Macaca mulatta: one gene and its partners. The main gene of each other region encodes a partner of the protein of the gene in region 2 in a complex. Links are inferred from orthologs where the notes say so. Each region holds a gene or a part of one and is shown on either strand. Other genes may lie near its edges.

Region 1 (3,346 bases), on a different chromosome or scaffold from region 2:
ATCAGAATTAGGAGGAAATTGTTCTGTTCTCTTCTGTCCAGAACTTGTGATTACTCATGTGTCATAATGGTACAATTTCCTCTGATATACGTGCACAGAGCTATTCAGTTTCACATCATTTGCAGTCACTTGCAGCACACTAGGTCTGCTTTTTCTGGGCTTAATAAAGTGTGCACCTAACCAGACTGTAATATAAAGTTGAATTTTGAGCAAGTGGTTGCTTGTTACCTGTGATGGGATGGTTTCTGGACAGGGCTTCACAACCTAAAATGTAAACAAAATGTGCTGTTTCACTTACCATGAAATTGAAGTAAAATAACAATAATAATTTGTTCGGGGGCTCAATGAAGCACACTTCAAACCACATGGATTTGATCATTCAAAGCAGGATGTTTCATAATTCCCATTTCATTTTTGTTCTTCCCACACATATCTTTAAAGTTAGTTAAGTCCTCCTAGATTTCAGTAGCCTTGAGGCAACTATCCAGTCACCTAAGCTAAACTTTATTTACCTCAGAACAAGGGTCATAGACCCAACTGAGTCAACTTTCTATGGATTTTGATTCTCTGTTCTGGGGCTATATCTGCTGTCTCAGATAATTAAGAGGTGAATAAATGACTCCAGTAAATGGGATTATTTAAAGAGAAGCTGGTTGTCCACTTATTTTTAGACATATAGGAATGATTTTGATCAAATGATGGTTCAAGGACAAATGCTGGGCTCGCTATATCAAAACCAAATGGAGAGCTTTGAAAAGATACAAATGGCATACTGTACCCCACGAGTACTCAATCAGAATCTCTGGAGGAAACACCCAGAAGCTTTTATTTTATTTTTTAACCTTCCCCAGATGATTCAGATAATCAGTAAGATTAGTAAAGCAGTAATCCAAATCATAGTTTCTCAAATGTTAACACGCAGAAGAATCATCTGAGTTCATTGTTAAAACACAGATCTTGAGGCATCAGGTCCAGGGTGACGCTTGAGATTTTGAATTTGTAACAAGCTCCCAAGTGTCATTCGTTCATGTATTTTGATTTATATTACTAATATAAATTAATTTATATTTATATAAATTATATATATATATATTTATATAAAACAAGGGGCTAGATTACTTCTCATGTTCTTTCAAGCTATATTTTTCTGTGATTATAAAGTGCCTTGTAGAAACTGCACCATATACCCTTCCCTTACATAAGAATTTTTCATTCAAACTAGAGTATTTTTCTGAACATAGGCTTTTCTTTTTTTTCAAAGCTGGGCCAGGAAATAATTGACTTATTTTATTTTGCTTGCAGCTCTGCCTTTGTTTCCTACTTTTTAGATTTTGACATATAGCTGAAAAAGTCCCAGAAAGCTGATCTTTCCAAGTTAATCATCCCTGAAGAGTGGCGGATTCATTGTGCACTAAAGCAATCCTTTCTTCTATGTGAGCCAAAAAAAGAAAAACGGCCTGCCAGACACCTGTAAAGAGAAGGCTATCATCATATAGGAATTTGAGGAACTGCTATATGGTACATTCCTTTTCCAAATGGGAGAGAATCAGCTCTCATGATGTCCCAGAGGGCCTTAAAATAAACAAGAGGGAAATTGTAACAGCTTGTCATCTGTGCTTGTACACTAGACTTTCATGTAGTTACTCTAGAGAAATCTAAATAAAAAATGCAGATAGTTCTTTGAAAAATCCTTGAATAATATGTAGAGACTCAGGCTGATGTGGTAAAAAAAAAGGAAGGTTATTTTATACTTGGTATCTCCAACCCACTGGCAAGCAATCTTTTGGAAGGAACAGCAGTTGATTGTGAGTTTAGGTTTTGAACCACCATTAGGCAAAGATAGTTTCTCTAGAGAGAATCATGCCTGCTAATTACACATGTACCGGGCCAGATGGAGACAATACAGATCTTCGTTACTTTATTTATGCAGTGACATACACTGTCATTCTTGTGCCAGGTCTCATAGGGAATATATTAGCCCTGTGGGTATTCTATGGTTATATGAAAGAAACAAAACGAGCTGTGATATTTATGATAAACTTAGCCATTGCTGACTTACTACAAGTTCTTTCCTTGCCACTGAGGATCTTTTACTACTTGAATCATGACTGGCCATTTGGGCCTGGTCTCTGCATGTTCTGTTTCTACCTGAAGTATGTCAACATGTATGCAAGCATCTACTTCTTGGTCTGCATCAGTGTGCGACGATTTTGGTTTCTCATGTATCCCTTTCGCTTCCATGACTGCAAACAGAAATATGACCTGTACATCAGCATTGCTGGCTGGCTGATCATCTGCCTTGCTTGTTTACTCTTCCCACTCCTCAGAACCAGTGATGATACCCCTGGCAATAGGACCAAATGCTTTGTGGATCTTCCTACCAGGAATGTCAACCTGGCCCAGTCCGTTGTTATGATGACCATTGGCGAGTTGATTGGGTTTGTAACTCCGCTTCTGATTGTCCTGTATTGTACCTGGAAGACGGTTTTATCACTGCAAGATAAATATCCCATGGCCCAAGATCTTGGAGAGAAACAGAAAGCCTTGAAGATGATTCTAACCTGTGCGGGGGTATTCCTAATTTGCTTTGCACCTTATCATTTCAGTTTTCCTTTAGATTTCCTGGTGAAGTCCAATGAAATTAAAAGCTGCCTAGCCAGAAGGGTGATTCTAATATTTCATTCTGTGGCATTGTGTCTTGCTAGTCTGAATTCGTGTCTTGACCCAGTCATATACTACTTTTCCACTAATGAGTTCCGAAGACGGCTTTCAAGACAAGATTTGCATGACAGCATCCAACTCCATGCAAAATCCTTTGTGAGTAACCATACAGCTTCCACTGTGACAACTGAATTATGCTAAAAGAAAAACCAAGCTGAATATGACCTGAAATGCAAGTACCTCAGAACATATCTGAAATACCCAAGCCACGGGGAAGAACTCACAAAAAAACACAGCTTTTCAGTTCTGCTCTATTTTACTGCTGTGGGGAATTCACTTCTTCAAAGCAGGACCTATGTGGAGCATTATGATCCACCATTATTGATGTTGACATATCCATGTAGTAATTTTTCATCAAGTCTGTAAATCTTAAAATATCAAATTTCTGTGACATCCTACAAACATATGCTCTCAACTCTAGTCAGTACTTTTACCTGTGACCCTCAGGCACAAAAAGAGTATTAGCTTGGAGTCACCATAAGCATTCAGTTTTGTTACAGCAGATACTGAGTCTTTATATTCAGAGGAGATGTAGGTGTCTTTTTATATTAGTAATCACAGTTTACATGCCTTTTTCGTATGTTTGGTTATATTTTAGTGGGATGGATGATATATTACCCTGTGT
Region 2 (3,219 bases):
CCTTTAATCAATGAGATTCTTAAAAAGTGAAAAGGAAGGGCTACAGATTCTCAGTAACTAAAACAATCTCATGTGCCCTTGAGGAGAAAGTCCTTGATGTTTTTAAGAATGTCACTTTATTTATTTATTTTTTTAACTGAATGATACAGAGGTATACAATTTTCAAACTGCCATTTTAGGCAGGAAATTTGAAAATTGAAATGTTTTTGTCAAGCATTACCAAATGGCACAGATTGTGATAGGTCAGCCTGGTTTTGGGGTCCTTTCTCTACTGGTTGATATGCATAAAACCTTTTAAAAATCAAGAATATTACCAGAGAGCAACAGGAATAAACAAGCTAAGTAAAGAAGAAAAAAGAAAAATAGAAAAAAATAAACATGAAGAACAAAGCCCCACCACTGTCCTGTGCTGTTTGTGTGGCCCCACTGCACCGAGGCCGCAGGCTAGCTGCTAGACGCATCTAGAGTTCCCTGATTCCTAAAATTATTTATCTTAAATCCCATTTGGCCTAACTTTCTTAAGGCATCAGCTTTGAGTTATAAATGTAACCAACACACAAGCAAATATGCCATTGACTTAGTGCTGCATAACTGTGGGACGGTCACTTCCGTTGAGCCTGACCTTGTAGAGAGACACAAATAGTTGGCAAATTAATGTGAACGCTGTGAACACCCCATGTGCCTTTCTTTTTCTCCCAGCTTCCTGGACAAGATCGATGTGATCAAGCAGGCTGACTATGTGCCGAGCGACCAGGTGTGCAAAACCCTTCACCACCAGAGGACCCTGAGCCCTCTTCCCAAACTACCCCAGACTTTTGCTTTAGATTGGAAATTATTACTATTTCGATTGGCTTTGCTGAGATCCATTGACCTCAATTTTGTTCTAGGACCTGCTTCGCTGCCGCGTCCTGACTTCTGGAATCTTCGAGACCAAGTTCCAGGTGGACAAAGTCAACTTCCAGTAAGCCCACTGTTACCTTTTTATATAACAGAGATCATGGTTTCTTGACATTTACCCCAGCCCCTCTGGAATAACCAGCTGTCTTCCTCTCCACCAGCATGTTTGACGTGGGTGGCCAGCGCGATGAACGCCGCAAGTGGATCCAGTGCTTCAATGGTAGGACGCTGTGGGCTTGGCTGTTCGTGAAGAACGCTTTGCTTCTGTGTTGTTAGGGATCAGTGTCGCTGCTCACGCTCTTGGCTTTGCTTTCTTTGGTTAAGATGTGACTGCCATCATCTTCGTGGTGGCCAGCAGCAGCTACAACATGGTCATCCGGGAGGACAACCAGACCAACCGCCTGCAGGAGGCTCTGAACCTCTTCAAGAGCATCTGGAACAACAGGTTTGTGGAGTGACCGCCCACCCCCTGCGCTTGCCCAGGAGGCCCTGGTCTGCACTGTTTGTAGAAAAGAACCCTGTGCAAGCATTCCAGACCCCTGGCCAAAAGCGCGCTTCTCCCGGGCATTCACACGGCCTCCCTTCTTGTAGATGGCTGCGCACCATCTCTGTGATTCTGTTCCTCAACAAGCAAGATCTGCTCGCTGAGAAAGTCCTTGCTGGGAAATCGAAGATTGAGGACTACTTTCCAGAATTTGCTCGCTACACTACTCCTGAGGATGGTGTGTATGGCTTCCACTCTTTTGCTGGCTGTTCATTGCAGTGGTTCTTTTTCAAACAGTAGGGCTGAAAGCCGCCATCCCCCTCCCACCACCAAACCATAAAGCATCTGTAAGAGAAGCAAGAAAAACACACTTGCATTAATTCTCATATGGAAAAATCAGGGTTTTGAAGACTTCAGGAGCTACAATGATGCTAGCACCCCAGCTCTGCTTGACTTTTTAATTACATTAATATATATTCCCTTTTTTTTATAGCTACTCCCGAGCCCGGAGAGGACCCACGCGTGACCCGGGCCAAGTACTTCATTCGAGATGAGTTTCTGGTGAGTTGAGCCTGTCTTTAGTTTCCTCTCTTGCTCCTCCTCTTTTTCTCATGGATGTAAATTTACTTCAGGGGTTCAGCTACCCAGGTCCATGGTTTTAGTTCACGCACATCCAGTGTGGATTTGAGTTCTTTGCACCCCTCCTTTTGCTTTCGTTTTCATATGACATCAGAGACTGGCCAACAGCCGTCCCTGGTAGGTGTCCCCATCAGTGATAGGGTGGTTCCTGGCGAGGGTGTCACTGACGAGTCCCTGCGTTTGTACCCGCAGAGGATCAGCACTGCCAGTGGAGATGGGCGTCACTACTGCTACCCTCACTTCACCTGCGCTGTGGACACTGAGAACATCCGCCGTGTGTTCAACGACTGCCGTGACATCATTCAGCGCATGCACCTTCGTCAGTACGAGCTGCTCTAAGAAGGGAACCCCCAAATTTAATTAAAGCCTTAAGCACAATTAATTAAAAGTGAAACGTAATTGTACAAGCAGTTAATCACCCACCATAGGGCATGATTAACAAAGCAACCTTTCCCTTCCCCCAAGTGATTTTGCGAAACCCCCTTTTCCCTTCAGCTTGCTTAGATGTTCCAAATTTAGAAAGCTTAAGGCGGCCTACAGAAAAAGGAGAAAAGGCCACAGAAGTTCCCTCTGACTTTCAATAAAAATAAATAAAACAACAGCAGCAAACAAACAAAATGAAATAAAAGAAACAAATGAAATAAATATTGTGTTGTGCAGCATTAAAAAAAATCAAAATAAAAATTAAATGTGAGCAAAGAATGATGGGACTCCCGTGAGTTATTTGTGGTTCTGCGCAGATTCCTGTCATTCATGGTTTGACTTGGCCCTTACATCAAAAGTTGGGAGGCCCCAAGGTGAAGTGGGTATAAAATCTCACCACTGTATGTTTTCTGGTGACTGTAAAATGTAGGTGTCTTGAAATAATTTTCAGACAATAGGAAAAGTCCACTCCTGTTGATCTCCCAAACTTTTACCCCATAGTGGACCACTATGCCCCAGTCACCTCTACATTTTGATCACTGCCATCCTATCCAAAGATTCTGCCAACTTATGCCATTACATCATCACACAGTTTGCCTGCTGACCCAGGCTTCCTAAGAAAAGTAGTGTATTTTTTGCTATAAGATAGGGACTAAATGATGTGGAGAAATACAGGAGCGCCGCGTTTCAAATCAATGGGGTTATTCAAGAAATGGTGTAGCCATTTGGGGAAAATTTAGACTGGATCCCTACCTCATTGCACACACCAAAATGAA
Region 3 (3,782 bases), on a different chromosome or scaffold from region 2:
GTTGTGCACTGCACGAGAGAGTTAATCTCAAGTCTGCGCGAAGACAGGGAATCCCAGGGGCACCGCTGGCACTGGGAAATCAGCCTCTTCCGCCTCTCTGGACCAGCAGATTCGTGCATAAGGATGGGCGAGGGCAGAGAGGGAAGCAATGAAAGAAAATAAAAGATAAAAATAGGGAGGAAAAGGTGAATATTTCAAGTGCCAGAGGGCGGGAGAGATGGAGCAAATTCCCGAACCTCAAGTCCAAGTTCTAGAAGTTGGGTGATAGGGTGGAGCTCCTTAGTGGGCGCGGCGGCTGTGTGTACAGTTTATTTATTTTTTAGTTTTTGGATTTTCTGCCTTGAACAACTAAGGATTAAACATCTACCGCAAAGATTTAGGGGGTAGAAGAGAGAAGAGGCAATTGCTGGGATCAAAACTGATGCTAAAGGCAAAGTCTGAGCCAATGTCGCTTCTCACAAACTGAATTTTCTGGGCTCTCACGCCCCGACGCTGGGTCTCCTTTGCACAAAGCGCCCTGCGCTGGAGCGGGAAGTGGGGAGGGGACCAGGTCCGCAAGCCGCGGGCGGAGCAGAGAGACAGAGAAGAAGTGGCAAATTATCTTAAGTGTTGATTCCCTAGGGTTGGGGGAAGCATAGTGAATGGGGCAGATCCTGTAGCCCCGACTGGCCGGCTACTCCTCCGTCATCACTGGCGGCAGAACTTACACTTAATGATCTTCTTAAACGCGTTTTGAAAGTCCTTGTTGAAGTATGCGTAAATGACCGGATTAAGCAGAGAGTTGGAGTAACCCAGCCAATTGATTATGGCGCCCAACAGCGTTGGCATGTGGCAGCTGCTCTCGCAGAAGGGCAGAACAAGAGCCACGATGAAGAAAGGAAGCCAGCAGAGGATGAAGGTGCCCATGATGATGCCCAGCGTCTTCACTGTCTTCCTCTCTCGGGCCAGGGCCATCTTGCGCTTGGCATCGGCGTTGCGCTCATTTTTCCTCTCGAAAGAGGCGGAGGCACAAGGGGTAGAACCAGCCTCGCTGGGCAGAGGCAAGTGCTCTTTGGAGTTGCCCACTCGGTGCACCTCGATCACCTCTAGGGCGGCGCCATCGTCGCCTTGCCTCACCGCGCCATTGGCGCACAGAGCACCCCCTGCCTTGCTCTCCACGCCCAGCCTCCAGTTCCTGCCCCCCGACTCTCCATTCACGCTCTTCTTGGGCTGCGGGGTGGGAGATGCTCCATGACGGGTGTCGGCTCCGGTCTTCTCCACCTTTTTGACCGTCTTGCGGATGCGGAAGCGCGCAGCTCGGAATATGCGCCCATAGAGAACCAGCATGAGCAGCAGCGGGATGTAGAAAGCTCCGAAAGTGGAGTAAATAGTGTAGCCGTGGTCCTTGCTAATGGTGCATGCGTCGGGGTCCGAGCGGTCTTCCGGGGTGCGCCAGCCCAGCATGGGCGGGATAGAGATGAGGAAGCCAATAAGCCAAGTGAGCGAGATGAGCGCAGCGGCGCGCCGGGGCGTCCTCTTGTTCACGTAGTCGATGGGGTCCGTGATGGCCCAGTACCTGTCCAGCGCGATGGCGCACAGGTGCAGGATGGACGAGGTGCAACACAGCACGTCCAGGGCGATGAACAGGTCGCAGGTGACCTGGCCCAGTGTCCACTTGTTGAGCACCTGATACAGCGCGGCCATGGGCAGCACTAACACCGACACCATGAGGTCGGTGACCGCCAAAGAGCCAATAAGATAATTGGCCACGTTCTGCAGGGAGCGCTCCAAGGCGATGGCAGCCACCACGCACGCATTGCCCAGCACCGCGCAGAAGATGAGCGTGCCCAGCAGCAGAGAGGTGATCACTTGGTAGCTGGTCACGTCGGAGATACCAGTAGTGTTGCCGCTGGTCTCAAAGGGACCCGGTGGTGATGTGGTGTTGTTGCCCTGACCAGGGCTGAGCACATCCATGCCTGCGCGCCGGTGCGGGAACGGGGAGGGAAGAAAAAGCAGCGCGAAGATCCGCCTCGCCCCTTCCCCTGTGGTCTTCCCCCCCCGCCCCCTTCTCCTGGGAAGTTTCGGAGGAAGGGAATGCAGGCACCCAAGCAGGAAGTTCTTACTGCTTCGGCGAAGGTATCTCTGAGGAGCAGCTTTCAGGCGCTCCCCCGGCTCGCGCAGTCCAGCGCGTTCAGAGGCACCAGCTGGGAAACTGGAGTTGGCCTGAAAGCAGCTCCAGGATCTCCGGGCGGCGGAGAGGTGGCTGGAACGTCTGTCTGTCGCTGTACATTTTACTTTGCCGCTCCCAAACTGGCTGCCGGAGGAGCTGGAGTCTCTCCTCTAGCAAACAGTCTCCAATCCCAGAAATATCTAGAACGGAGAAGCCCCATCCTCCACGGTCACTCTGTGACCCTCCTCTCCCTGTTTCCTTCCTTCCCTCTCTCCCCCTCTCTCCTCCTCTCTCTTCTCTCTTTCTCTTCTGCCTCTTTCGACCCCCTTCTCCCCACTTGCCTTCCCTTTCAGTCTCGCTCTTCCTCCTCACTTCCCTTTATTTATCCCTCTGTGAGTCGCTTCGAAAGCCAGGCTCCCTCCCTCCCATTCTAACCCTCCCCAACCCCAACCCCAACCCCGAGGAGTGCCTCTTTCCTCTGGGTCCCCGCCCTCCTCTCCCTCAAGCTCAGCGTCTTTGCTTTCCAGTCCCTTTTTGTCAACAGAGACTCAGAACTCACTTACACACACCGGATCCCTGTCGGTCAGACCAAGGTTATAACAGATAAACTCCTCCTCCAATCCAGTCAAACTGGGGAGGGGGTATTCGAGGGGAGGGAATTCCGACTACTCATTGCCTCATATTCTCTCTCAAATTCTTAAATCGTGTCAGCATCCCTGAGTGGCAATAGGAGATGAGTAAAGGAAGCACAGGGAGCCTGAATGGGAAGGTGAACAGTCCTGGGTCAGTCTCCCAATAATTGCTAATTGAAGGAAGAAGACGGAGTGTGTCTCGTTTTTAAAAAGTTACCTCCCTCCGTTCTCGCGCCACTGCACTCCAGCCTGGGCGACAGAGCGAGACTCTGTCTCAAAACAAACAAACAAACAAACAACAACAAAAACGCTACCTCCGTTATCATCTAACAGTCAGACCGGATTCCTTCGGGGAGGATATTGCCTGTGACATTTTTTTTTAACCTTGGGGAACTAGGAGAGAACGAAATTATAAAGGACGTGTCAAAGGACAAGGAGAGGTAAACAACTGCAACTCGAAATGAAGAACAAAACTCAATGTGATATATATTCTAAACACACACACACACTTTTCCATCACCACTACACTTGTAATTTCAGTGACACTGTCACTTTGTGGCTAGCAAATTCAGGGATGGAAATATTTTGCATATGTGTTTTAAGAGAAGCCTGGCATTTTATATGGCCGTTTGCACTTCCTACCAGAGCCTGCAAACCTCTGGGGGAAACTTGGTGGAATCCCTGTTCGCTAGCCGGCTAGCCTCTCCTATTCCAGAAACTGGGTTCAGCACCTGGGACAGCTCTAAGCAATAAGGGTTTATGTCGCCACCTTCTGGCAAATGTTTTAGAGTGCCGTCTAGAAACCCTTATGCAGAAATAAAGCAAGTATTGAGGAAGTACAACTTCTTCTAGAAAGAGGAAGACAGTTATTAAAAGAAAAGGTAGCATTGAGTTTTGTCTCCTTCCTATTTTCTTTAAAAATTGGTTTTAGTGCCCTCTTTTGCTCTGAATTGCTCTGAAACATATTATTATATGTTTTAGCTTCCTTCGAAAGCCTGAAG
Region 4 (4,268 bases), on a different chromosome or scaffold from region 2:
TGTGATATTTTGAATTCTCCTTTGAATTGTTGTAACATCTTACTTGTTCCTTCATTAATTAATGAGTTAAACAAAATCTTTGAAACATTTTCATTTTATATTTGTGTGAGAGCCATAAATATGCCCTCTTTAAAAATTACCTTTAAATACTTATTTTTCTTTCTAATATTTAAACAAAACTACAAAATGAAATATAGTAGATAAAAGAGATGAATTTCTGAACATTTTCTTATTTTGAGACATCCTTTTTCTTCTTTCAGCATAAGAAGGAGTTTGCATCCATCGTAGTATATTTGGATTTTTTTAGTTTGGAAAACAAATCATGACTTTTTCTTAATTGGTTTATTGAATTCATTTACTGGTTTACTGAAGACTTTAAGGAAGGCAAAAGAGATATTTTGTTAAGAGATTTGTTAATTTTGAAAAGTATCCCATTGATTAATGTAAGAATTATGTTTATAAATTAGATTATTTGGCACTCTAGTAAATATCAATGGAAATAAACTTTAACTCATAACTTTAATATTTTCATACAATCAAAAATAGAGATATACTCTAAGTAGGCATAACATAAATTGTTACAATTGATCAGAATATCTTGAATATATTTTTACAGATAACTAGTGGTTTCTACTAGCAGATTAAAATCAAGAGAAAATTAAAAGTAAGTTCACATTTTAAAAAATTTATAAGCAATAAATACAGCACTACAGCCACCACTAATTCTATGTACATTGGATTACATTTAAACAAACACTGCATTCAAGAATGAATATTTTATGAATAAATGCATTGGAAATTAACTTTAGGAAAGAAAATGACAAATTACAATTTAGAAAATTAAAATATGACTTTCACAAGTAATCACAGTAAAATGACAAATCTACATTTTAAAAGCTAGAAATTCCCCAAATTTATTTTTTGACAGCAAAGAAGTTTGCTTTAAAAAAGTGTCAGATTTACTTTGCTTTATGAGTATGGTACAAAGGTATTAAGTAGCATTCAGCTTTTGAGGAATCTAACATTTAAAATTATTCTAAAAATATATGAATATAAAACTAACAGTGATTAAACATGAATGACTGCTACTCCTCAAGACTTTACAACAGATAAACCCTGGCTATAAAATAAATCTGATCTAGAATTGATATTATGAAAGCACAACAAAAATACTTGAAAATTACATGTTCATTTTAATATAATCTCTGATAATTCAACATTTTTTAATGTCTACTGTCAAGATGGTTGACTTGACAGTTTGTCTAGAAGAAGGCTGATATATGTCAACATGGTCAGCAAAGGATTTAAATATGGGTCTTTGAATAATAAATAGCTAATAATTGAGTTTATTGAAATGAATTTTTGTATAATGTAGGCAGTTAAAGGTCCAGAACAGCCTGCATTCCTTTCTATGGCAGCTCGCTATGAAATTCATGTTTGAAACAAAACAATACTTTTTCATGCATAAATTATGAATGTACTGACCAGACCATTCTATATGTTAATTCTTACTCATTTAGATAATTTTTCTTAGCAATTTCAAATAAGTTCTGAACTCACCATCTATTGACAGCTTAAGAAACAACTTATGATGAGTAATTCATTAGTTTCATCCATTTTAAGCAGATTGACACACTTAAAATAGAGATACACATGATTTTCCCAAAATTGACTTTTACTAATTGAAGTCATTCTTGTTCTTCAGAGATTTCAGTGGAAAATAACATTAGAGAAACTGAATCCCATATAAATTTCACTTTAGTTCATTAGCAAGGTTTTCTTCTATCTTTATTTAATAAGGTCTGACAATAATTCAATAAGATCTGACAATAATTTTTTCTCAATGATATATTCAAGTATTTCCCTGATTTGTATTATATACAGTAGCTCTATTAAAATATTAAAGCATTGTATATGATATATATTGTGTCCCTCTATTTTTTTATATTTCTTGAATAACCTGGGACATTTCCAAAGCTATGTATCTTCATATAGTGAAAGTCAGTAAAGTAATATTTTAATGGGGTAAAATCTATACAAGTAGCAGATTGGTATTTATCACAGTAGTTGTTTAAAATTTCTGGATTAGAATGTGAGTTCATTGTCAAAACGAAAAAAGAAATATGTCAAACACACCTATTATTAAGGTATGAGTCATCAAAACAAATATATTCAATAAAATAGTGACCTTGTGTTTTTAAAATAAATATATCTTATGATAGATGTTTCTGTTCTCTTAGTTCTCAGACTTCTGATGCTGGCATCTGGTTGTCTTTAAAATAGTCACCAAATATAGAATTCCAGACTCTATTTTATTTAAAAAATCAGCCCAGATACAGTATCAGATATTAACATGCACACATTGTTGCATTATATATTTGCTTTAAAAATTACCTAGGTTGTATGTATTTGATTTGAGACTGTAAAATAAAATAATGGAGTATTTACACGCTCATTTCTCACAATTTCTTTTTACAAAATTCCAAGAAAATAAGAAATCCTTCATTGATTTTCCTTATATAAAATGATTGCTAATTTGTTTCTACAGTAGAAATGGAAGGGACAAAATGTATATTTACAGGTACGAATTCCCTCCCACTGTGTGGTAAAACAGGAAGAAGTTGACAAGGTGTTCTGTAGCATCAACTAAGATGTTTTCTTAATGATATAGAAGTAGGATTGCATATTATACATCCTGTTCATCAAATTTCGACAATGGATATGCCACAAGATATAACTGATGTGTCAGCAAATGAGTAGATCGTAACAATTATACTCAGTTGCTTTTCATAGAGAAAAGAAAGCCAGCAGGGATAATTCACTTCTGGTATTGTCCATTTGAGAGGGTCATTACAAAAAGGACTACAGCACTCTCTGGGCAAAATAAAATGTCAACTGCCCCAATCAAGATGGGATAAAGAGTTTTAAAACTAAAAGCTAATTTTCCCTTCATGTCTATAGGCCTTCACTAGGTCTCTTGGGGCAATAAGGGTAGAATCATGCCCAACATGTATATTTACTTTTACAGTCATTTGTTTGTGAATTCATGCAATGGTGTGCTGGAGCTGGCTTACACCAGCTCAGAAAAGTTGATTGTGCTTTTCTCCAATTCCACACTTGGTGATGTCAGGTTAGTAGTGTCACATCAGGCATAGTGGGAGTATTTACTGGCAAATATTACAAACCAGGATTTCTTTTTTCCCACTTACAGCTAGATATTACACTCTTATCAACACACTACCAATTTCATGTGAGGCTTTTCTTTATGATATTCAAAAAGCCATTTAATATTGAAGTCTTCTGGCTTTAGAGTCATGGATCCAAGTCCTTGAGTTAGGAGTGGCACAAAACAGTCAGACAACCATCCTTCTATTTTCAATTATATAAATTTTCTGGTTTTAAGACAACATTTTCAATATCATGGATGCTTTTCCCATTTAAGTGTTCACTAGGACAGTCATGACTATAACCTGGACCGTCACTGATTGTTGACACTGTGTAAGACGCACTACGAAGAGCTTCTGAGTTGGAAAAGCTGTTTCCAAATTGGATTTTGTATTGATTCCAGTTTCTTCTCAGAATTGCTTGAACCTATCAATCAAAAAGAAACAGAAAGAACAAGAGCAACCCATTAATTGAAATGAAGACATTGTTTTTGAAGCACAATTAAATAGGTCTTGGAGAAGAGCTTTTTTAAAACAAGTTATGTTAATTAGTGAATAATATAGCTTCATTTTCTTACTTAATTTAAAAAATTAAGTTAAGTGTACCATCTTTACATTAGGAAATGTATTACAATTACATCGTACTTTACATTCCATTGATATTTTTCATGCCATGTTTTGTCTTCAAAGCTTTTATAATGCGTATGTATTCGTTGTTGCCAAACAAATAGGTAATCTGGACCCCCATTTACAAGATTTCATGTACAACATCAAGTTTTATATTAATGTCTTTATTAATAGAATGAGAAGACAAATCGTAACAGGATTAGAGAAAGATATACAAAAGAAAAGAAGTTAGGATACGAAGAATACAAATCATCATCATCAGCAGCAGCAGGGCAATAGCAGCAACGTTTGTTTTTGAGTGATTCCCATATGCCAGAAATTGCGCTACATTCCAAAAAAGGGAGCATGATATTTGTCCTCATGGAGCTTACTACATAGAGGAAAGAAAAGTGTTGAACAAATAATTATACATCTGGTGAATATTGTGAAAAATAAATTTAGGAATGTAACCACTCCACTTTTACATATTTGAATCCT
Region 5 (3,963 bases), on a different chromosome or scaffold from region 2:
CACTGACACAATGAAATGAAACCCCCAAGAGAAAAGGACCATGATGACCGGCCTCGGTGGCTCAGTCTTATAATCCCAGCACTTTGGGAGGCCAAAGCAGGAGGATGGCTTGAGCCCAGGAGTTTGAGACCAGCCTAGACATAGTGAGACCCCTGTCTGTAGAAAAAAATTGTTTAAAAATTGGCCAGCTGTGGTGGCGCATGCCTGTGGTCCCAGCAACTCAGGAGGCTGAGGTAGGAGGATCACTTGAGCCTGGAAGGTTGAGGCTTCAGGGAACCATGATAGTGCCATTGCATTCCAGACTGGGCAAAAGAAAAAAAGACGTCGGGCACGGTGGCTCACACCTGTAATCCCAACACTTTTTGGAGGCTGAGGTGGGCAGATAGCTTGAGCTTAGGAGTTCGAGACCAGCCTGGCCAACATGGTGAAACCCCATCTCTATTAAAAATACAAAAATTAGCCGGGCATGGTGGTGCACACCTGTAATCCCAGCTACTTGGGAGGCCAAGGCAGGAGACTTGCTTGAACCTGGGAGGTGGAGATTGCAGTGAGACAAGATTGTGCCACTGCACTCCAGTCTGGGCAACAGAGCATGACTCCCTCTCAAAAGAAAGAAAAGAAAGAAAAAAGCAAAGCAAAGCAAAGCAAAGAAGGAAGGAAGCAAGCAGGCACCATGAGTGACCACCTTGTTTCAAAGAGGAAACTGGGGCACGGAGATGTCACTAGCCTAAGGTCTGACCAAGAGGCAGGCTGGAAGTGCAACCCCAGAGCTCCTTCTAGGGGTGGCCCTGACTTTGGAGTTGGGGACCTAACAGAACCCTTTGTTCTCCCCCTCCTACCGGCGGAAGATGCAGAAGGTTAACGGCCAGAAGATGAATGACTGAGGCCTGGGGTCTCTACGGGAGGAAATGGCTCAACTCAGGGAAGGTCAGTAGCGGGGGCCTCCTCTTCCCATAGCTGAGGGCCTGATAAAGTTGGGGGTGTGTGGTTCGAGAGAGGGGACCTTCCAGCTGGGGACTTGGAAGGACTAGTGGGTGTTCCAGCAGCAGATGAGCCTCACCCGGGGCTGGAGGTGTTGAATGGGGTGAAGTCTGAAAGGGGTTAAGGGGCAGCGGCAGTGGTGGGGTTAATGGGGGCGGGCCTGGCCGGGGCGGGGCCTCAGCTGACGGCTCAGGCCCGGGGGCCGGGAGGAGTAGCCGCTGTTCTGCCCCGCGGGGGCATCCGCTGGGTCCCCGCGCCGTCATTCAGACCGGAGACCCGGACGCAGCCGAGAGAGGTGCCGCCGCCCGCCCCGTCCAGTCGCCGCGCGCAGGTGAGTGCCGGGCCCTCCCCGGCCCCCGCGATGCTGCGAGGTCTCACTAGGTTGCCCTGCTCTTGGCGGGACCGCTCCTCCCCGCCCCTTCTGGGGCTGCCTCAGTCTCCCGCGGCGTCTCGGCGCCCGCCCCCTCTGTTGCTCTCCCTGGCTCTGCGTCTGTCTCCAACTCCCGCCTGTGTCTCTGTGTCTGTGGTCCCTCTGCCTCTGGACCTGTCTTTCTTTCTGTGTCTCTGGATGTCTCTGTCAGTTTCTTGATCTCTGCCTCTCCGGTCTCCGTCTGTCTCCGTCTGTCTCTGTCTCTCTGTTTCTGGGTCCCACCTTCCTCTGTCCCTGCCTCTGCCTCTCCCCCATCTGTTGTGGGACCTCTGGGGATGTGTCTGCCTCTATCTCCATCTCTCCCTGTCTCTGTATATCTCTTTGCTCTCTCCCTCCATGTCTCTCCGTCTCTCTCTATTGCCCTGTCTCTGTCTCTCCGTCTCTTATAACCCTGTTTTGGCACCTTCTGCTCTGTCTTCTCTCCTTCCAAATCCTCCGCATCCCGGAACTTTCCTCTGGGCTGGGAAGCTGCTTGGGAGTAGAGGGCAGGAGGCTTGTGACCTGGGGCAGGAGGACTCAAAGTGACACCCTGACCCCAGCGCCCTCTTCCCGGAGCCACCCCACTGCCCCTGAAGTCGCACCCACCCCGCCCGCCAATTTCAGGAATTCCTGGCTGGGGGGTGAACTTCCTCGCCTACTTCCTCTCTTCCAGGATTTGGCTGGGTCACCGTTAACTCTTTCCTGCTTCCGCCTCACTCTCCCCCCGGGGAACTGGACAACCCCTCCTCCCAAACTAGGCTGAGGAACAGCCCTAGAATGTCTGGGAGGCATCGGTTGTGGGATGTGGGTGTGCGCACTCGGGCTGGATGTGCATTGGGGAATTTGGGGCAGAAGTGGAGAAGATGGGGCCACACCCCCCAGTGCCCCCTCCAGAGCCCATCATCAGCACCCCTCCTCCTGAACCCACCAAGGGGGCACCCGCCCCCAGATCTGTCTCTGTAGATGAACTCGACTTCAGGTTTGGGGTGAGGATGAGGAGGTTTTCTTTTCTGGGGGAATCCCAGCTGAAGAGGATAAGAGACCCATGGGGGCCCCCGGAACCCTGGGAATCATATGATCAAGAACCTTGAACGTGAATATCTTTTAATGGAAGGGCCTAGATGGAAGAAGGATCAGAGGGGAGGCCTGGAAATTCCAGATCCTTCCAATGAAAGGTCCTGGGGATACTGGAGTCCTTCAATCCAAAAAGAGGAGTGTTGAAATCTTGGCACATTTCAGTGATGGCAGCTGAGAGTTGGAAAGGGTTTGCAGAGCCACCTAGGCCAACTCCCCCCACCCCATTTTATAGATGGAGAAACTGAGGCCCAAGAGCAGAAGTCCCCACAGTGAGTCAGTGCCAGGCTGGAGGGCTGGGACCCCAGTTTTCAACCGAAGCCCAAATCCAGAGAGCTGGCTGCTTCTTCTACCACTAAGCCGGATTAATTTGGGGAAAGAGGTCTTCTCAATGAGGAGGGAGAGATGCCAGGGTGAGTAGAAATGGCTGGAATCCAGAAGAGAGGGTTTTAGAAGCAGAGGAGAGAAAATATTTCCAAAACCATGGTGGTGGGGAGGGAGAGGGGCAAGAGTTGGTTTGGGTGGAAGGGGTGGAGTTTCGGGAAGAGAAGGAGGGAGGTGGAGGGGAACCGGGATTAACTCCAGCTTCAGTCTCCTGACCCTCCGCCTGGAGCCCACCGTTCCCTCGGGGACAGGGCCTATAATTTGGTTTGTGTCTAGACAAATAATAACTCAGCTGGTGTGAGCGGGGAGGGCTGAGGCTAGGCCCACTAGGGAAAGGGTAGAGAGGAGGCCTGGATATCTCATGTCACCCCCAGGTGGTGAGAATTTAGGAACCAGGTGGAGGTGGTGACTAACATGCCCCTCTCTTCGCTCTGTGAATCCATAGTTTCTTAGAATTCTGCACAATCTTAGAAATCAGGCTGCTGGAATGTTCAAAAGCAGGCGAGAGAAGGGGGGAAAGAAAAGGAAGTGGGGCTCACTGTATTTAGTGTACGTTCCCATTTCTGTAAAAGAGAAAAGGGAAATACGTATTCCTGTTTGCTGGGGAAAGATAAAAATCACTGACGGTTTAATAATAGATTATGAAAGTCATAGAATGCTTAAAAAAATCATAGCATGTTCTAACAATAGAACTTTCGAATCTTGGAATGTGACACTCCTAGAATATTGGAAACTTAGGGTAGGTACTTACAAAGCCACGATGTAATAAATAGAATGAAAGAAGAGTAATGCTCTAGAATGTTATAATAGAACATTCAACTGCGAAGTGAACTAAGGATAGAACCTGAAGATTGCAGAACCGTAGGGACCTAGAACGTCAGAGAGGCAGTCTAAGGACTGGTATCCCTAATGGGCAGTGTGGGCGTGGGGGACACAGAGACCCCCTAGGTTGAAACGGGGATACTGAGGTGCAGTGGGGCGGTTAGGGTGGCCCGATTGCCCCCTGGTTTCCGCCGGCCGCCAGGGCACCAGGTGGGGAGCGAGGACCGGTGATCACATTTCGTCCCTAATGAGCAGACCGGAGCTGGCCGGTCCCCTGGGGCTGCTGGGGGAAG
Region 6 (4,179 bases), on a different chromosome or scaffold from region 2:
TGGATTCTATCCTGCCAGCCTTGCAATATTTCAAACTCTAGGATTTAAACTCATCTTGATACTTTAGAGGTATTTTAAAATAAGACTAACTTGCAACCTACCTAATGGCCCCTGTGTTAATTGAGCAGTTGCTCAAAATAGAATACAGAAATAGAAGAGGCATTTTTTAACATATGGCTGCTACATAACTGCAAATGTAATAAACAAGGTAATTTTCCACTTTCAGAAGATATAGTTGAAGTAATGATTTAATGTGTTAATCATCTACCAAAAATAGAAAAGGTATAGCAAAATAGAATATGAAGCCTATTAGAAATACCTAAGTAATAAATAATGGCAACATTTCTGGTCAAATAAGCTCAGAGTGTATTGAAAAGTTTTATTATTGTCTAACTTTACATTTATATAGATATGTGAGATATGGGTGTACAGTTGCAAAGGTGAAAAGTAACTGTGAGTTACATATTTTATTTTCATGCTCCATTATAAGGAATGTGGTATATCAAATAACAAATGTTATTTTAAGTTATAGATGCCAAATTAATATCAAAAATGATTTCATTTTGAAAAGGAAGAGGTATAAGTTACATTGCTGTTAGTACCACCAGTAACTGTAATGAACTAAAACTGCTTTCATCTAAATGCTTTAAAAATGCATGCAGAATTAAAACTTCAGAAGTTTATTATATTTTGCCAGGTGTTAATTCATTAATTCATTGTATATTATCTTTTCTATTGGAAAATACTTTTTTCTCATGAGAGTTATACGGCAATCTGTAGTCTGTTACCTCTGTTCTGCCCATGTAGAGATGAATCTTCAAATTAACTTTGATAGAGTTGTTTTTCTTAGATTTTAGAAAAATGAGAAATAGATGATAAATTTGACCCCCCAACATCAATCCCTGAACTAAGCCCAAAGACACTCTTTTCCACAATGAACTTTTTCTCAGCTTTTCAACCAAATTTGAGGTCTTAATTATTTAAAATCTAAAATACAAATGCATTTTTCATCATAGATAAAGCAGGAAGCCTGAGACGGTTTAAGAGTTTTCCTTTCTCATTCTTTCTAGTTGCTCCCTAAGAAACTGCCTCTCTTGGAGAACAGCCCACAGAAGCTTTTCTTCCTTTGGCAATTCATTTTTTTTTCTTTTTACAGATTTAATTTTTCATAGTGCAAGATAATAAGTCTATTTTCTCTAGAAGTACCTTATGCCTGCAAAAAGTTCTTTGAGGGCAAAGGAAACTAATTAGTGACCTCTTTTCACCTCCTTTCTAGCTTACCCCCTTCTCTCCCTTCTCTCCACCCCCCACCCCCCCACCCCCCGCCCGAAAGCTGAGGTGTGTCACTGCTGAACTGAGGCTGATGAAGAGACTTGAGCACTCTCTGGGACTCTCAGCTGTGACAGAAGCACTGACATTGTCTACTGAAGCAGGTTCTGAAACACTCGTGTGCGGTGTTTAACAGATGCTGGACAGGGCACCTGCTTGCAGTGGCCAAGTCTGCATTCCAAGCCATGAATGAATCCAGGTGGACTGAATGGAGGATCCTGAACATGAGCAGTGGCATTGTGAATGTGTCCGAGCATCACTCCTGCCCACTTGGATTTGGCCACTACAGTGTGGTGGATGTCTGCATCTTCGAGACAGTGGTTATTGTGTTGCTGACATTTCTGATCATTGCTGGGAATCTAACAGTTATCTTTGTCTTTCATTGTGCTCCACTGTTACATCATTATACTACCAGCTATTTCATTCAGACGATGGCATATGCTGATCTTTTCGTTGGAGTTAGCTGCTTGGTTCCTACTCTCTCACTTCTCCACTACTCCACAGGTGTCCACGAGTCATTGACTTGCCAGGTTTTTGGATATATCATCTCAGTTCTAAAAAGTGTTTCTATGGCATGTCTTGCTTGCATCAGTGTGGATCGTTATCTTGCAATAACCAAGCCTCTTTCCTACAATCAACTGGTCACCCCTTGTCGCCTGAGAATTTGCATTATTTTGATCTGGATCTACTCCTGCCTAATTTTCTTGCCTTCCTTTTTTGGCTGGGGGAAACCTGGTTACCACGGTGACATTTTTGAATGGTGTGCCACCTCTTGGCTCACTAGTGCCTATTTTACTGGCTTTATTGTTTGTTTACTTTATGCTCCTGCTGCCTTTGTTGTCTGCTTCACTTACTTCCACATTTTCAAAATTTGCCGTCAGCACACCAAAGAGATAAATGACCGAAGAGCCCGATTCCCTAGCCATGAGGTAGATTCTTCCAGAGAGACTGGACACAGCCCTGACCGTCGCTACGCCATGGTTTTGTTTAGGATAACCAGTGTATTTTATATGCTGTGGCTCCCCTATATAATTTACTTTCTTCTAGAAAGCTCCCGGGTCTTGGATAATCCAACTCTGTCCTTCTTAACAACCTGGCTTGCAATAAGTAATAGTTTTTGTAACTGTGTAATATACAGCCTCTCCAACAGCGTTTTCCGGCTAGGCCTCCGAAGACTGTCTGAGACAATGTGCACATCCTGTATGTGTGTCAAGGATCAGGAAGCACAAGACCCCAAACCTAGGAAACGGGCTAATTCTTGCTCCATTTGAAGAGAGCTACATAGTAAATCAAATGTAATCTGACAGTGGTTTTGGATCATATTCTAGATTCATCTGGAAATTTGCCATCAGAGAAATATTTACTTGAATAGTTGACTATAAAATGAAGTATGAGACTAAAGGTTTCTCTTTTTTTTTCTTTTTCATGGAAGAAACTAAAGGGAAGGATGTATAGAGGGTTATCTCATGAAATAATTACAGCATGTGAGTATTTGTGTGCAGTAATAGGAAAAATTAAGCACTGAGATGAAAAATAATATCTCAAATCTTCTGCAGGACATGAGCAAGCTCCTTGGCTTGGCGTTTCTGTCTTTCTGTCTGACTGTACCATGCCTCTGTCTTTCTCACTTTGTCTGTTTCTCTCACTCTTTGTGGAAGTTATTACTTACATAAATTACCCTTTATAGAAAAATGCTACATATTATATATGTGGCAAATTATAATTTTTGCATCAAAGTGTACCTTTAATCACACTAATCTACAATCCATAAGTGATCTCTTCATGGAGGATGCACAGTAAGCATTGCATTTTATTACTTGCCAAACAACCCCTTTGCTTGTGTTTCTAGAATCTTCTCTGCAGCACAATTTTTCTGCTACAAACAAATAGAAACACTATTTTTGTTTCTTCTGGGTGAAATGACATTTGCTATTCCCCCTTTTCCTAACAGTCTCCTGTTTTTTTTTTTTTTTTTTTTTTGTCTCTTTTTCTTGATCTGCATCCATTGCTACCTTACTTTAGAAGTGTCTTAGCTATTGAAAGAATCTACTGTATAAAGCATCCATAATGTTAAATAATGTATTTCTTCCAGCAAAGCAATCTGGTAGCTTATTAAATATTTTTAATGGCTTTTTGAAACATTTTTATCTGGTTCCTTTTAAATTAGTTCATCTGCTTAAAAGTGATGTCTTTTTTTGCTATAGTAAAGCTTTGTTTTTCTTTAAGAAACCCACTAGTAATTCTAATGCAAATGCAGGATACTCACCTAGCAGTGAGGCATTACTCTTAAGGGTACTTAGAATGCCCTTTTAAAAAATAAGTAAATAAAATAAAACATGAATCTTTTTTGTGTTAGGTCTACGATAGCTTACTGTTGTGTCCACTAGTCAGTCATTTGTGTGATATGCGTTTGCACATATTATATTTTTTACAGCAAAGAAAATGTAAATTATGTTATCTGTGCCTAATGTTTTCTTAGCAAAATATATAGATCAATGTTGTTTAAGTTGTCAACATTGGAAAAAGTATATATAAAAACTTATTTTAAGAGAAAAATACTTTTGTGTAACTGTTATTTAGATATTTATATTAGACAAAGCTGCATTTTTAGTGCTGCTGATAATATAATATACTTAATTATCAAATACAGGTAAGAGCTGACAGTATTTTCTTTTGTAATGATCTGTTTTCAAATGCAGAGATTAACTTATTTTTTTGCGTGCTACATGGGATTGTGTAATAAATTATCAGGGGTTTAGATATAGCAAAGTAGCATTTTGGGGAATTAGTGAAGCAGGTATGAGCAGTAAAACATCTAAATATAACTTTTTTACCATAAGTTTCTTGCCT
Region 7 (4,234 bases), on a different chromosome or scaffold from region 2:
TGAGTTTCAGTTCCACTTCACCACTTGCTGCTGGTGATCTGGGGCAAGGCCCTTGGCCTCTCTGAACCTCTCAGCATTATTGTGGGGATGGGAATAAATGACTGGAGGAGTAGGAAAGCCCCTGGGGACATCGCAGGAGCCTTCGATGTGGGAAGTATTATTTTTCTGTTTCTGTGGAGAAAAAATGATCCCACCCTGTTCTCTTTATACTACTTTTTCTTCTTCTTTTTCTTTTCTTTCTTTCCTTCCTTTCTTCCTTCTTTCCTTCTCTCTCTCTCTTTTTTTTTTTTTTGACAGAGTCTTGCTATGTCACTCAGGCTGGAGGACAGTGGCACAGTCTTGGCTCACTGGAACCTCTGCCTCCCGGGTTCAAGCGATTCTCCTGCCTCAGCCTCCTGAATAGCTGGGATTACAGGTGCCCGCCACCACGCCCAGCTAATTTTTATATTTTTGATAGAGACGGGGTTTCACCCTGTTGGTCAGGCTGGTCTCGAACTCCTGACCTCAGGTGATCCGCCCGCCTCAGCCTCCCAAACTGCTGAGATTACAAGCCTGAGCCACCGCGCCCGGCCCACTTTCTATGTTGATTATGCCTATTGTTTATCGTCTGTCTCCTTCCACTAGAATGTAAGCTCCATGGAGGTGCGGATCTTTGTTTTGGCCACTGTAGGGTCCTGATGGGTCAGAACAGTGCCTGACTTCTAGTGGATGCGCCTTAAATATCTGTTCAACGAATGGATGAATAGAGTCCACAGTATTAACCTGCACAGCAGTGTTAGGCAGACTCTTCTCAGCCAGAGGGGAGAGATACAGAGGGAGGTCACAACCAGGGGAAACAACACCCCAGGCCTCTGCCTGCAGAGACTCTAACCCACCTGGCCTGGGGATTCTCAAATCTGTTCACGCTCTGTTAAACTAGGAGCGCCAACAGCTCAGGGACTTCATCCTTAGTACCCGGCCCCTTTGGCGATAGGGATGGTTTCTGCAGGGAAAGGTTAGCTTCTTGATCAAACTAACGATGAAGAATGCCCAGAATTACTAACCCATTTTACAGCTATGGTAACTGAGGCCCAGAGAGGTGTCAGGCGATTTGTCCAATATTTCCCAACTCCTGGTTCCCCTGAAAGCCTGGTGACCCCCTTGTGAGTGGGCAGGCACCCATTAGGGAGCAGTCCCTGGATAAAGGCAGGTCACAGCCCCCTTCTCCGAGTTCCGCCTGCGCCGCCGCCCCGTGTGGGTTGGGAGGGGCATCTGGGAGTGCGGGGGCTGCCGCAGCCCGGAAGGTGACCCCGCGCAGCTGGGGCGCTCGGATCTTCGGCCCACAGGCCCGGGGTGCTGGGACCCCGCCCGCCTGCAGGGCCAGGGCTCGGCTCTCCCCGCCCACCGGGAGGCGGGACGCACGCTCCGCGGCGCGGAGACCGCGCGCTCCGGGCTGCACCCAGCCGCTCCTCCGCGCGTGAGGGCCCCTCGCGGCGCCTCCCGGGTTCGGGAGACCCGGGCCCGCCGCCCGCCCGGCCCGCGGCCGCCTCTTCCTCTCGCAGCCCCGCGGCGCTTGCCGCAGTCGCAGGCGGCGGAGAAGCCAGAGCGCCCCAGGTACCAGTGCGGGCGGGAGGCGGAGGCGACCCTGCGGCCGGGTGGGGAGGGGGCGCCGCGCGGCCGCTGCCCTCCGCTTCCCGCGGGGCCTGGAGGTCCCGGCGAACCCCCGCGCAGTGTGAGCCCGATCCCGGTGCCTCCGCGCCAGCTGAGACCTGCCTTTCCCCGGGGGGCTTTGCTCCGGCCCCTAGGCCCCCGCCCTGCAGACCCCACGCTGGCACCCCACACGCCCACCGGCCGCGGGGAGTCTGCTCCGGCCCGAGAGCGCCCATTCACCCCCCGCGCCCACCTCCTCGCGCTCCCACTTCCCCGAGCTCTGCCCCGGCCGGACGCCCCTACCCTATCTTGCCGCCCGCCCCCTCCAGGACTCTCTGCTCCCACCCCGGGGCGCCCATCCGACATCTGCTTGACTTCCCGCCGCTTCCTTTAGGGGCCTCGGCTCATCGGGTGCCCCTCCCCAAACTTCCAACCCGTTTGCTCCAGGTGTCCTTGCCCCGTTCCCGAGGGCGCCCAAATAGCCACTCTGCGTCCTCTTGTGGTCGCTGCCCCCTGACCTAGCGCGACCCAGTGCCCCCGCCCATGTCTCCCCACTCGCCTCCCCCGGGGGGCGTGGTGAGTCGCTGTCTGCTCTCGCCGACGGTGCCCGTCCAGCCTGCGCTTCGCCGGGGCCCTCACCTGCCTTCCCACCACCCTATCACGCCCTTACCCTCCACCCCCGGTCCCCATGGTCCCAGAGCCGGGCCCCACCGCCAATAGCACCCCGGCCTGGGGGGCGGGGCCGCCGTCGGCCCCGGGGGGCAGCGGCTGGGTGGCGGCCGCGCTGTGCGTGGTCATCGCGCTGACGGTGGCGGCCAACTCGCTGCTGATCGTGCTCATCTGCACTCAGCCCGCGCTGCGCAACACGTCCAACTTCTTCCTGGTGTCGCTCTTCACGTCCGACCTGATGGTGGGGCTGGTGGTGATGCCGCCGGCCATGCTGAACGCGCTATACGGGCGCTGGGTGCTGGCGCGCGGCCTCTGCCTGCTCTGGACCGCCTTCGACGTAATGTGCTGCAGCGCCTCCATCCTCAACCTCTGCCTCATCAGCCTGGACCGCTACCTGCTCATCCTCTCGCCGCTGCGCTACAAGCTGCGCATGACGCCCCCGCGTGCCCTGGCGCTAGTCCTGGGCGCCTGGAGCCTCGCCGCGCTTGCCTCCTTCCTGCCCCTGCTGCTGGGCTGGCACGAGCTGGGCCACGCACGGCCCCCAGTCCCGGGCCAGTGCCGCCTGCTGGCCAGCCTGCCCTTCGTCCTCGTGGCGTCGGGCCTCACCTTCTTCCTGCCCTCCGGTGCCATATGCTTCACCTACTGCAGGATCCTGCTGGCTGCCCGAAAGCAAGCCGTGCAGGTGGCCTCCCTCACCACCGGCATGGCCAGCCAGGCCTCGGAAACACTGCAGGTACCCGGGGTATGCAGGAAGACCTGGGCTGTGGGATGCAGAGGAATGAGCAGCCCCTGGGAACCCCCTGGGCATCCCCACTTAGCACACATTTGCTCATGGCCCTGCGTGGCAGTTGTGAGCACCCACCTTTCTTCTGAACTCCAGACCCAATGCCTGACCCACCCAGCACAGGATAGCTCCGTCAGGATAGGCGGCAGGCTTCTCCCAGGCACTATGTACAACAGGGAATTTATGGTGGCCCAACTCTCCCCATCTTTGCTTCCCTGGTCTTCCCCATCATGGCAAATGGCACCATTTCGGCATCACATGCCAGGAACTTAGAAATACTTTTCTCCTTAACCCTCATGCCATTCATTAGCGAGACCTATTGGTGCTGCCTCTAAACAGGTGCCATCTCCACTGCCACTTCTTACTGGGGAGGCTGCGTAGACTTCTACTGGCTCCACTGCTTCTGCTGCAGACCCACTACTCTCCATCTTCTGCCTAGAAGCCGGAGCAATTAAAAAAGAAGTGATCATGTCGCTCCCCTGCTTCAGACTTCAGGCTCCCCATTGTGCTCCAGATAAAGAAAACCTGTCTCAGGATCTGGCCTCAGGATCCGGCACTGCCAACCTCTCCAGTGTCACCTCCACTCTCCCTCTCTCTTACTCTACAACAGCCTTGTAGCCTTTCTCATGCTTCTAGAAGGCACTGGGCTTACTTCTGTGCCCAGGTCTTTGCACTCGCTGTTCCCTGTGCCTGGAATGTTCTTCCCCCGGCTGCCCTCTTCCCAGGGGACATCTTTGACTACCCTATCTGCAGGCCCATCTACCCTCCCCTGTTATTCTCCATAAGAACAAGTCATAAGAATGACTTGTTCATTCTGCCTCCCTGACTTGAATATAAGCTCCAGGAGGGTCACACATATCAAGGTCAGTTTTTTTGTTTTGTTTTTCTGTTTGTTTTTTTTGAGACGGAGTTTCACTCTGTCGCCCAGGCTGGAGTGCAGTGGTGTGATCTTGGCTCACTGAAACCTCCACCTTGCGGGTTTAAGCTATTCTTCTGCCTCAGCCTCCTGAGTAGCTGGGATTACAGGCACCCACCACCACGCCAGGCTAACTTTTGTATTTTTAGTAGAGACGGGGTTTCACCATATTGGCCAGGCTGGTCTTGAACTCCTGATTCAGGTCAGTTTTGATCCCCACTGTGCATAGTAGGTCC

What was found.
Region 1: the proteins of guanine nucleotide-binding protein G(s) subunit alpha isoforms XLas (region 2) and GPR174 are in contact, whole or in part, in a cryo-EM structure (PDB 8IZB), measured with the Homo sapiens proteins. The link is inferred for Macaca mulatta from reciprocal best matches to the Homo sapiens genes GNAS and GPR174. Residues at the interface, in NP_000507.1 of Homo sapiens: Lys34, Gln35, Arg38, Ala39, His41, Val217, Phe219, Thr350, Asp354, Gly355, Tyr358, Cys359, Tyr360, Phe376, Cys379, Arg380, Asp381, Ile383, Gln384, Arg385, His387, Leu388, Arg389, Gln390, Tyr391, Glu392, Leu393, Leu394; in NP_115942.1 of Homo sapiens: Phe44, Tyr47, Arg53, Ala54, Val55, Ile56, Phe57, Met58, Ile112, Arg115, Arg116, Phe119, Leu120, Met121, Pro123, Phe124, Phe126, His127, Asp128, Cys129, Gln131, Ser211, Leu212, Asp214, Met218, Gln220, Asp221, Leu222, Glu224, Lys225.
Region 3: the proteins of guanine nucleotide-binding protein G(s) subunit alpha isoforms XLas (region 2) and HTR1A are in contact, whole or in part, in a cryo-EM structure (PDB 9GL2), measured with the Homo sapiens proteins. The link is inferred for Macaca mulatta from reciprocal best matches to the Homo sapiens genes GNAS and HTR1A. Residues at the interface, in NP_000507.1 of Homo sapiens: Ala39, Asp215, Lys216, Val217, Arg342, Arg347, Thr350, Ala351, Gly355, Tyr358, Phe376, Arg380, Asp381, Ile383, Gln384, Arg385, His387, Leu388, Arg389, Gln390, Tyr391, Glu392, Leu393, Leu394; in NP_000515.2 of Homo sapiens: Asn69, Ala71, Asp133, Arg134, Ala137, Ile138, Pro141, Ile142, Tyr144, Val145, Asn146, Arg148, Ile218, Ala222, Arg225, Ile226, Lys228, Thr229, Lys232, Val233, Asn325, Arg327, Asn328, Lys332, Arg339, Lys342, Thr343, Thr346, Leu347, Asn404.
Region 4: the proteins of guanine nucleotide-binding protein G(s) subunit alpha isoforms XLas (region 2) and CALCRL are in contact, whole or in part, in a cryo-EM structure (PDB 6UUN), measured with the Homo sapiens proteins. The link is inferred for Macaca mulatta from reciprocal best matches to the Homo sapiens genes GNAS and CALCRL. Residues at the interface, in NP_000507.1 of Homo sapiens: Gln35, Arg38, Ala39, His41, Val217, Phe219, Arg356, Tyr358, Phe376, Arg380, Asp381, Ile383, Gln384, Arg385, His387, Leu388, Arg389, Gln390, Tyr391, Glu392, Leu393, Leu394; in NP_001258680.1 of Homo sapiens: Arg173, His177, Tyr236, Leu237, Leu240, Ile241, Val242, Val245, Phe246, Ala247, Lys249, Ile312, Leu316, Lys319, Leu320, Val322, Thr323, Arg336, Ala337, Ile340, Leu341, Phe384, Asn388, Gly389, Glu390.
Region 5: the proteins of guanine nucleotide-binding protein G(s) subunit alpha isoforms XLas (region 2) and GPR4 are in contact, whole or in part, in a cryo-EM structure (PDB 8Z9O), measured with the Homo sapiens proteins. The link is inferred for Macaca mulatta from reciprocal best matches to the Homo sapiens genes GNAS and GPR4. Residues at the interface, in NP_000507.1 of Homo sapiens: Gln31, Lys34, Gln35, Arg38, His41, Asp215, Lys216, Val217, Tyr358, Tyr360, Phe376, Arg380, Asp381, Ile383, Gln384, Arg385, His387, Leu388, Gln390, Tyr391, Glu392, Leu393, Leu394; in NP_005273.1 of Homo sapiens: Gln45, Arg49, Asn50, Leu52, Asp114, Arg115, Ala118, Val119, Ala120, His121, Pro122, Leu123, Arg124, Arg129, Arg130, Lys132, Tyr201, Ile204, Ala207, Val208, Gly210, Ser211, Val212, Ser213, Thr214, Glu218, Lys221, Ile222, Leu225, Asn290.
Region 6: the proteins of guanine nucleotide-binding protein G(s) subunit alpha isoforms XLas (region 2) and GPR52 are in contact, whole or in part, in a cryo-EM structure (PDB 8HMP), measured with the Homo sapiens proteins. The link is inferred for Macaca mulatta from reciprocal best matches to the Homo sapiens genes GNAS and GPR52. Residues at the interface, in NP_000507.1 of Homo sapiens: Lys34, Gln35, Arg38, Ala39, His41, Lys216, Val217, Phe219, Tyr318, Pro321, Arg342, Asp343, Leu346, Arg347, Thr350, Ala351, Tyr358, Cys359, Pro361, Phe376, Cys379, Arg380, Asp381, Ile383, Gln384, Arg385, His387, Leu388, Gln390, Tyr391; in NP_005675.3 of Homo sapiens: Tyr74, Arg139, Ala142, Ile143, Thr144, Pro146, Leu147, Asn150, Gln151, Thr154, Pro155, Ile226, Phe227, Ile229, Cys230, His233, Thr234, Glu236, Ile237, Arg240, Arg243, Phe244, Ser246, His247, Tyr263, Ala264, Met265, Phe268, Arg269.
Region 7: the proteins of guanine nucleotide-binding protein G(s) subunit alpha isoforms XLas (region 2) and HTR6 are in contact, whole or in part, in a cryo-EM structure (PDB 7YS6), measured with the Homo sapiens proteins. The link is inferred for Macaca mulatta from reciprocal best matches to the Homo sapiens genes GNAS and HTR6. Residues at the interface, in NP_000507.1 of Homo sapiens: Arg38, Ala39, His41, Asp215, Lys216, Val217, Phe219, Leu346, Thr350, Tyr358, Cys359, Phe376, Arg380, Asp381, Ile383, Gln384, Arg385, His387, Leu388, Arg389, Gln390, Tyr391, Glu392, Leu393, Leu394; in NP_000862.1 of Homo sapiens: Arg124, Leu127, Ile128, Pro131, Leu132, Arg133, Lys135, Leu136, Ile211, Gln218, Gln221, Val222, Leu225, Thr226, Lys265, Ala266, Thr269, Leu270, Phe323, Met324, Arg325, Asp326, Lys328.

What each region holds. Positions count from the first base shown.
Region 1 is NC_133426.1:85,571,488-85,574,833, forward strand, and holds part of GPR174 (putative G-protein coupled receptor 174), read left to right. Parts: intron 1-1,302; 5' UTR 1,303-1,860; coding exon 1,861-2,862; 3' UTR 2,863-3,346. UniProt on the Homo sapiens protein: G-protein-coupled receptor of lysophosphatidylserine (LysoPS) that plays different roles in immune response. Plays a negative role in regulatory T-cell accumulation and homeostasis.
Region 2 is NC_133415.1:111,699,117-111,702,335, forward strand, and holds the end of guanine nucleotide-binding protein G(s) subunit alpha isoforms XLas, read left to right. Parts: exon of another isoform or gene 1-699; coding exon 700-754; exon of another isoform or gene 755-887; coding exon 888-961; exon of another isoform or gene 962-1,058; coding exon 1,059-1,117; exon of another isoform or gene 1,118-1,221; coding exon 1,222-1,342; exon of another isoform or gene 1,343-1,488; coding exon 1,489-1,619; exon of another isoform or gene 1,620-1,726; intron 1,727-1,874; coding exon 1,875-1,942; intron 1,943-2,212; coding exon 2,213-2,359; 3' UTR 2,360-2,719; downstream 2,720-3,219. UniProt on the Homo sapiens protein: Guanine nucleotide-binding proteins (G proteins) function as transducers in numerous signaling pathways controlled by G protein-coupled receptors (GPCRs).
Region 3 is NC_133411.1:71,983,567-71,987,348, forward strand, and holds HTR1A (5-hydroxytryptamine receptor 1A), read right to left. Parts: upstream 2,377-3,782; 5' UTR 1,954-2,376; coding exon 688-1,953; 3' UTR 501-687; downstream 1-500. UniProt on the Homo sapiens protein: G-protein coupled receptor for 5-hydroxytryptamine (serotonin). Also functions as a receptor for various drugs and psychoactive substances.
Region 4 is NC_133417.1:92,305,398-92,309,665, forward strand, and holds the end of CALCRL (calcitonin gene-related peptide type 1 receptor), read right to left. Parts: intron 4,162-4,268; coding exon of another isoform or gene 4,159-4,161; exon of another isoform or gene 3,940-4,158; intron 3,592-3,939; coding exon 3,376-3,591; 3' UTR 501-3,375; downstream 1-500. UniProt on the Homo sapiens protein: G protein-coupled receptor which specificity is determined by its interaction with receptor-activity-modifying proteins (RAMPs). Together with RAMP1, form the receptor complex for calcitonin-gene-related peptides CALCA/CGRP1 and CALCB/CGRP2.
Region 5 is NC_133424.1:58,136,292-58,140,254, reverse strand, and holds the start of GPR4 (G-prodeshotein coupled receptor 4), read left to right. Parts: upstream 1-1,163; 5' UTR 1,164-1,312; intron 1,313-2,622; exon of another isoform or gene 2,623-2,877; intron 2,878-3,923; exon of another isoform or gene 3,924-3,963. UniProt on the Homo sapiens protein: Proton-sensing G-protein coupled receptor activated by extracellular pH, which is required to monitor pH changes and generate adaptive reactions. Activated by an optimal pH of 6.8-7.2.
Region 6 is NC_133406.1:31,926,044-31,930,222, forward strand, and holds the start of GPR52 (G-protein coupled receptor 52), read left to right. Parts: upstream 1-1,379; 5' UTR 1,380-1,514; coding exon 1,515-2,600; 3' UTR 2,601-4,179.
Region 7 is NC_133406.1:221,312,803-221,317,036, reverse strand, and holds the start of HTR6 (5-hydroxytryptamine receptor 6), read left to right. Parts: upstream 1-1,434; 5' UTR 1,435-2,317; coding exon 2,318-3,031; intron 3,032-4,234. UniProt on the Homo sapiens protein: G-protein coupled receptor for 5-hydroxytryptamine (serotonin), a biogenic hormone that functions as a neurotransmitter, a hormone and a mitogen. Also has a high affinity for tricyclic psychotropic drugs.